2 linked regions of the Canis lupus familiaris genome follow. The protein of the gene in region 1 interacts with the protein of each later gene in a pairwise test. Links are inferred from orthologs where the notes say so. Each region holds a gene or a part of one and is shown in the gene's direction. Other genes may lie near its edges.

Region 1 (3,814 bases):
CTTTTCCAGCATAAATTCTGAGATTAACAGTTAATTTAATGTATAATTATTGATCCTGTAAGTTTATCTCCAAAATATAACTGGAATATATTGTCTTCACTCTCCCCATAGCCCAACCTCATAATCTTTTGATTAGAATACTGCAATACTGGTCTCCTGGCCCCTAGTTTTGTCCTCTTCCAATTTATTCTCCAAACAGCAATGGATCTCATAGGAACAAAACTAAAACAAACAAACAATTCAGTTGTCATTCCTTTGGCTTAAAGCCTGTTAATGGATTTCCAATGAACCTAGAATCAAGCCCTGATTCCTTACCCTGGCTCTACACGATCTGCGCTCCTGTCCCCAACCTCCATCTCAATGACCCTCTCTTATACTGCTCTCCCCTCACTCACTATGCTCCTGGCCAACACTCGCCTACTGACTGTTCTTAGAACATGCAAAACATTTTCCCAGCCCAGAAACCCAAACAGGCTTTGCCCTGTGGTTCAAATGCTTTCTCCACGTTCTTCACTTAGCTAGTCCCTTCTTATCCTTTACATCGCTCTTATCTTTTACATCGCCCATAAACATTGGTGCCACACAGAGGCCTTCCATGATGATTCTTGTGGAATTACTGCATCTTTTGATTAAGATGCAGTAATTAACAGATTAACAGATTCCTGTTTATTTCCTCCATTGCACTTATCACAATTCATCATTACCTTTTTCTTTTTGTTTACTATAGAATTTCAGCACCTAGCACAGTGCACAGCACATAGTAAGCACATACTTACCATGTAAAATGTAAGCCCTACATTTTTAGGTCAAGTTCCCTGGGAAACAGACTCTGAGGTGGACCTTTGCACCCAAGAGGTTTACTGGGGAGTACTCATAGGAATAACACCTGTGAGGGAGCAAAAGAAGAAGCAAAATTGGGCAGAGAAGTTGAACTGTGATGCAGTTGCAACAAAAGTCTCAGTTGATTCCATAAGGAACTCTGAATCTGGGATGGCCTTTCAGAGTTGCCTTGAATAGAGGCAAGGCATTAGTGGCTTACCTGGGGTAGTGTAACTTGGGGTAGGTTAGGCTAGTGGTAACAGAGAGTTACTATTAGTTACTAATAGTAACAGAGTTACTATTCTAAGCACATCATTCATTTAATCTTCACAACACAACACCCCTATAAGGTGGGTACTGTCATTATCCTTATTTTACAGATGAGACTGAGGCATAGAAAGGACATATAATTCAACCAAGTTCATAGAGCTAGTAAGTGGCAGGGTCAGGACTTAAACTTAGACAATTGGCTCCAGAGTCTGTTCTCAATTACCTACTATACTGCAGTCCCCAAAACATTGTAAAATTTCAATTTTGAAGTTTACTTTTTAAAAATTCTGAACTTTATTCTCATTTCATAATGATCATATCCAAAAAACAGCACAGATCACTGTTTCATACCTTCAGATTAAAAAATAACAACCTTGGGGCACCTGCCGGGCTCAGTTGGTAGAACATGCAACTCTTGATCTCCAGGACATAAGTTCAAGCCCCACATTGGGTATGAAGCCTACTTAAAATGAAATTTAAAAAAAATATTAACTTCACCATTTTTCTTCTTGAAGATCTGGTTGTTCTGAGATGAACAAGAGGATTCCCCACCACAGTTGACTCTATACAATAAAAGAAGTTTAAATGTTGTAGTGCAAATTTTAACAAGGCCTTCATGATTTAGAGTCTCTGGGCTGTCTGAGCTGTCTCCATGTGCTGTGAAATGCCCCTCTCTCAATTCACCAAACAGCTGCATGTGTCTGTTCAATGCACTCTTAAAAAAAGCAAGATTTTGTGGACATGTATGCCTTTTCTTTTTTTTTTTTTTTTTTTAATTTTTTTTTTTAATTTATTTATGATAGTCACACAGAGAGAGAGAGAGAGAGGCAGAGACACAGGCAGAGGGAGAAGCAGGCTCCATGCACCAGGAGCCCGATATGGGATTCGATCCCGGGTCTCCAGGATCGCACCCCGGGCCAAAGGCAGGCGCTAAACCACTGCGCCACCCAGGGATCCCCATGTATGCCTTTTCATCAAGAGTTTATTTTCAGGATATACTCAAAGCTTGAATTTTCACTTAGATTAATATCATTGACCCTGAGTTAGTTGTGATATAAATATTGGAGATTAGGAGATCTGGTTTTAGTTTTTGTTGTGCTGTTAAGCTAGTTGTATGGTCTTGGGAAAATCAGTCATCTGTTTTAAATGATTTAGGGAGAAACAAGGAATTTTAGTATATTTAGTATATTTAGAATCAATTTTTTTCTTATAGGAATCTGATTTTCTTTGTCTTCTTGGAGTAAGTTATTCATTTGAAAATGAAGACAGTGAATTAAGCAATGATGATGGCAAAAATATACATCCATATGAAGAAGATAAGGACCAAAAATCTAGTGTATATGACAGTGATTTTCAGACAGAATCTGGATTTTATTCACCTTCTGAAAGTACTTGGTTTGAAGATCAATTTCCAGCATCAGAGGCTCCTGAAGATATCAGAAGTACTACTGAATCAAAAGAGTGGGAAGGAGTAGAAGCTGGAAGTATGGAAGAGGATTCTGTTCCAGAAGTGGATCATATCCTGCCATCCTCAACTGTGTCTGAAGTGAAAGGATGGTTTGGATTCGGAAGGGAACAAGCTGAAGGAAAGACTTTTGAATCAGTTATTGAACCTCTAGAAGAAAGTTCATTTCAAAGTAGAAAAATGGCAGGAGAAGATGGGAATGACCTGGAGGAATTAAATAATGATAAACACCAAACAGAACAAAAGCAAGAACCTGAACTGGAATTCTATTCATTGCCAAAGAAACAATCTGAAGTAGATTCTGAATCAGAGAACATTATCAGTCCTCAAGCCACTGGCTGGTTTGGGGGTAGTTTTAAAAGTTATTTAGGTTTTGGAGATGAGAATAGAGGGCTTGAATTATTGCCTAAAGAAAGCAATCCACCACTACAAGATGTTCTTGATTCTATATCATCTGAGGAAGAACCCACGGTTCCATGCACAGAAATATCAACAGAAAAAGAAGACATAATTGCCAATGATACCTCAATTCTCAGGCCAAGTTGGTTTGATTTTGGTTTTGGTATGCTAGGCTTTGTATACACCAATGAACATAAAATTGTATCAGATGATGGAAAAAGTGAAGAAGGAGGTGGAGGAGATAAACACGAACATCCTCCAACAAGTAAATTTGACCCTGATATGGAACAAGAAATAAAAACAATAAAAAGTATGGAAACTGAAGATCAAGTAGACACAGAAAGAGTCTTAGAGAACACGGATGATTTTGATACCTTACCATATTTTAAAAAGTTCCTATATAATTTTGACAACCCCTGGAACTTCCAGGACATTTCAAAGGAGACAGAATTGCCATTTTCTAAACAGATACAGGATGAAGAAAATGTAATTGAAAATGATGAAACAGAAGAATTTTCAGCTGAAAATTATCACACAGGTAATATGAAACTTATAATGTTGAAAGGCAGATACAGTCAGGTTGGTATAAAATATTTATAATATAATTTGTTTTTAAAATATAATTAATTCTTATAAGTACAAATTGGATGAAAAAGTCCAGAAATCCATGTTTCTCAAAATATTCAATAATCAACAACATTATCAATTATCCTTTTAATATTTTCTGGTTTACTGTGGGACTTAGATCTTAATATAATGAAATACCAAGGGAGAAAGAATGATTGGAGATACATATATGTTCCAAGAAGATCTTAAGGTATTTTACAATAAATTCTTATTTTTTTCCAAAATAGTATAGTA
Region 2 (4,365 bases), on another chromosome or scaffold:
CAGCACAGGGCTCGATCCCAGGACCCTGGAATCATGACCTGAGCCAAGGCAGACGCTTAACCCACTGAGCCACCCAGACACCCCTCCTTCTCATTTTTTTTTGAAGATTTATTCATGAGTGACCCAGAAAGAGAGGCAGAGCCATAAGCAGAGGGAGAAACAGGCTCCCCTGATGTGGAACTCGATCTCAGGCCCCCAAGATCATGCCCTGAGCAGAAGCCAGATGCTTAACCACTGAGCCACCCAGGTGCCCCCTCTTTCTCATTCTTGCCCTTTTGCTCTTCCTTGAATCCACCAAACTTGCTCCTGTCTCAGGGCCTTTGTACTTGCTGTTATCTTAGAATGCTCTTCAACTTGACGTTTGTTTGATGGCTCCTTTATTTCTTCTGCTCAATGACCTTGTCAGAGAGGCCCTCCTCAACCACACTATATAAACTTACATACCCTACATGTCCACATCACTTTCTAGATCCTTTATCTGGCTGTACATTTCTCCCATATAATTTGTCACTTCCATGTAAGGTGGTTCACCCAGCTGAGGGAGGAAAAGAGTCCTAAAATCCAGTCCAACCTCTGTTCCCAAAGCTTTACTGCTTAGGAGGGGCCTGAGTCTGGCTGGAGGAAGAAGCTTCTTTTTTTTTTTCCTTTTCTAATTCACACAAAGTTGTTGCCTATTTCCCTGGCCCTGTGACTTTTTCTAACTTGCAGAGACATCAGACTATTTACTAATAGCCCTGTTTTTCTTATTCTAGTAGAATAGAAGCTCCAGAAGAGCAAAATCGTTGTCTATTTTTTCACTACTGCTTCCTTAATGCTTAAAACAGTATTGGGCACATAGCAGGTATTTCTCAATATGTTTTTTCTTCTGGTTGGATGGACAAAACCATGGGGAGTGAGAGAAACTCACAGAGTACCAATGTGATTGTGAGTGTCAAGATGTAACTAAGGTTTATATTTGGGGACAGGGTGAAGATGGCAAAGAAAGAAAAAAACAGCACACAGTTTTGGAACTCTGAGAGTTTAACATTTAAAAAAAATTTTTTTTTAAGATTTTATGAGAGAGAGAGAGAGAGAGAGAGAGAGAGGGGCAGAGACACAGGCCGAAGGAGAAGCAGGCTCCATGCAGGGAGCCCGACGTGGGACTCGATCCCGAGTCTCCAGGATCACGCCCTGGGCTGAAGGCGGCGCTAAACTGCTGAGCCACCCCGGCTGCTAAACTGCTGAGCCACCTGGGCTGCCCCATTTTTTGTTTTTAATTTGACTTCTGATTTTACAGGTGCATGGCTTTTGGTCAAAGCTAATTAAATAGAAGTAGAACCAGACTATCATTTTTAGAATGGGAATTCAGGGCCTGTTCTGGTACCTCACTTCACAATGATGGGCAGGAAACCGAGTTCAAGAAAGAGAAGTTACATTTCATCTACTTAAGAGTCAACTCCTAGAACAAAAACGTTATAAAACTTTTCAACTTGATGAAGACCAACTTAAGGGTAAGGGAAATCAGTGTTAGAGAACAGAAAACTAGTTCTTTCTTATCCCCCCTTTGTGTTAAATATTGTTCAAAGAGTCACAAAACTCTGCAGCTTGCCATCAAAGAATCCTGGGGACTGGGGGTGGGTGGGTTAGAAAGCCAGTGGTCACAAATATGCTCATTGTAAGGGTAAGAAAACTCAGACTCAGGGGCTGTGATTTGCCCCAGGCCACACAAGAGTCCAAACTAGAGCCCTGAAACCTTGAAGCGGAGTTCATTGTTCTGCTAGGAAAGAGTATAAAGGGGGTGGGATCTTTCTAAAATTTTGGCTCACGACTTTACAGGTATGGATTTAAACCCTAAAAGGGTGTCCAGGTTTTACCTCAGAGATATTTAAGCAAATTCATTTATATAGCTCCTCCAGCCTAACTGCAGAAAGGCTATCTTGGCAGTCTTGGGTCAACAGCAATTAAACTTCAACCTGGAACTGGAAAGAACAAACACCAAATGCAAATACCACCTTTCAAGTTCTTGGTAAATATTTTCCTTCTCTCTCTACCAAGTCTGTTTTGGTGGTGGTGGTGGTGCGTGTGCGTCTGTGTGTTGAAAACAAGGACAGCGGGGATCCCTGGGTGGCCCAGCGGTTTAGCGCCTGCCTTCATCCCAGGGCCTGACCCTGGAGACCCGGGATCGAATCCCACGTCGGGCTCCCGGTGCATGGAGCCTGCTTCTCCCTCTGCCTGTGTCTCTGCCTCTCTCTCTCTGTGTCTATCATGAATAAATAAAATCTTAAAAAAAAAAGAAAAGAAAACAAGGACATAGCATCAGCTTGACTTGTCCTAGGCCCCTGGCTCACTGTCGGGCTCGTGTTGACACCCTTACCCCTAGCTGGCCCCAGCTGCCCCTGCACCTGTCGGGTCTGCATTACCCTTACCCCCGTGTGTTCCGGGCCCCTGAAGAGTCGTGGCATCAGAACACCTGCTGCGTAAGTGGGGGCGACGCGGGGTTTGCCAAACGCGCCCCACCTCTCGAAGACAGCGTCGGGAGCAGCACTACCGGCCCATTCCTTAAGCTACTCCCTCCCTGCGCTCGGCTTTCGTGATCAAGCGCAGCTCAAACCTTACCGGGACGGGCGTCACGGTCACACCTGAGCCCTTCCTCGGGGGCCGGGAGAGCGCCCCGACAGCCGGGAACGGCGGCTGCTCCCTCCCAGCCCGCGACGGGGCTTCCCGTCAACCCGGGAGCTCGAGTCCCTTTCAGGGAAACTACGGGGGACGAAGGGCAGCCCGGCTGGCTCAGCGGTTTAGCGTCGCCTTCGGCCCAGGATGTGACCCTGGAGACTCCGGATCGAGTCCCATGTCAGGCTCCTTGTAGGGAGCCTGCTTCTCCCTCTGCCTGTGCCTCTGCTCTTTCTGTATCTCTCATGAATAAATAAATAAAATCTTTAAACAAACAAAAAAGAAACAGGTGACGAAGCGCCCGCAGCACCGGTGGAGACGGGAAAGCCCAGGGTCCGGGAGGAGCTCCCGCGCTGCGGCCGCGGGCTTTCCGGCGCCGGAAGTGCCCCGCGTCGCCATGGCGACCGACGCCGACGCCGCTCGCGGCGCGGTCGGCGGCGTTCCGTTCCCGTGGCAACCCCGGCGTCCCCGCGCCGGAACCCGGGCTTCGCGCGCGCCGCGCCGACCGAGCCGAGGGCCTCGCTTCCGCCGGGCATCCGTGAGGCGCCCTGAGGCGGGTGCGCCGACGCCGACGCGGTCGGAGGGAGCGGAGCGCGCGGGCTGAGGGAGCGGCCAGGCTCGTTCCGGGGCGTGGCTTCCCCGCCCCCCAGGTGCGCGGCCCCGCCCCCGCCCCCGCCGCCGCCTCCAGGTGGGGGCCGCCGTGGCTGCAGCACCCGCGGGGAAGCGGCCTCCGAGGCTCGGGTGGGGCCTGGTGGAGCCTCCTGGAGCGCAGTTTCGGAGTCTGAGAACTCAGAGCTCCTCCCCCCCGCCCTCGGGGCTATGGTTTTGGAAGCAGAGATTAGAAAGCGAAATTAAGCTCTTTCTGGTGTTTGGACTGTGGATGTTCAGGCTCCTCAGGTGGGAATGAGTGACATTCTGCAGGGTGAGATGAGCGGCTTTCGATTCCGATTTTCTTTTCTTTTTTTTTTTTTAAGATTTTATTTATTTATTGAGAGACACAGAAGCAGAGACACAGGCGGAGGGAGAAGCAGGCCCCTGCAGGGAGCCCGACGTGGGACTCGATCCCGATCCCGGGTCTCCAGGGTCACGCCCTGGGCTGCAGGCGGCGCTAACCGCTGAGCCACCGGGGCTGCCCTCGATTCCCATTTGATCTAGGCAACAGGGAGAGCCATGAGAATTGAATTTCACAGATAATTATAAATCAGATTTTTGTCATGAGGTTTCAGCCGTTTCCCCCATCAACTAAGGACAATACCCAAACGGACGCGTGTGGGTCCTTGACTGGGCCTCCCTATTAAATTAGCGGGCTAGCCCTAGGGGCAAGGAGAGTTAACCAGTGCATTGGCCATACTCATTTAATGCTTAAAACTGGTTGCTTTGCTTGGCTCCATCTGGCAAAAACAGTATCTGACTTGAGTAGGAGAACCTAGTTTTGATGATTCAGGAGCTGTAAATATACTGGCTTTAGGGAGGTAAAAAAAAAAAAAAATCAGGGATTTTGGAGGTACTATGGAGTGGGAATTAGGGGAAAGATTTAATTCAGAGGTTTAATTTGGCAAATGCCATTAATTTCTGCTTTACAGGTATCTCTATACATTAGTGTGTATATTGGATTTGTGGATTTCAGATGCGTTATGTATCTGGGCAGTTTCAGTATAGCATCCAACAGGGAAAATAGAGTAGACTTCTGAGTCTTTTTTTTTTTTTTTTTTTTTT

What was found.
Region 2: the proteins of MIA2 (region 1) and TTC23L interact in binary tests that used the Homo sapiens proteins (3 or more experiments, as listed by UniProt). The two-hybrid records come from large-scale screens. The link is inferred for Canis lupus familiaris from reciprocal best matches to the Homo sapiens genes MIA2 and TTC23L.

What each region holds. Positions count from the first base shown.
Region 1 is NC_049229.1:17,565,225-17,569,038, forward strand, and holds part of MIA2 (melanoma inhibitory activity protein 2), read left to right. Parts: intron 1-776; exon of another isoform or gene 777-887; intron 888-1,587; exon of another isoform or gene 1,588-1,653; intron 1,654-2,302; coding exon 2,303-3,491; intron 3,492-3,814. UniProt on the Homo sapiens protein: Plays a role in the transport of cargos that are too large to fit into COPII-coated vesicles and require specific mechanisms to be incorporated into membrane-bound carriers and exported from the endoplasmic reticulum.
Region 2 is NC_049225.1:74,362,801-74,367,165, reverse strand, and holds the start of TTC23L (tetratricopeptide repeat protein 23-like), read left to right. Parts: upstream 1-1,339; 5' UTR 1,340-1,472; coding exon 1,473-1,490; intron 1,491-1,886; coding exon 1,887-2,005; intron 2,006-3,170; exon of another isoform or gene 3,171-3,299; intron 3,300-3,326; exon of another isoform or gene 3,327-3,529; coding exon of another isoform or gene 3,530-3,546; exon of another isoform or gene 3,547-3,571; intron 3,572-4,365.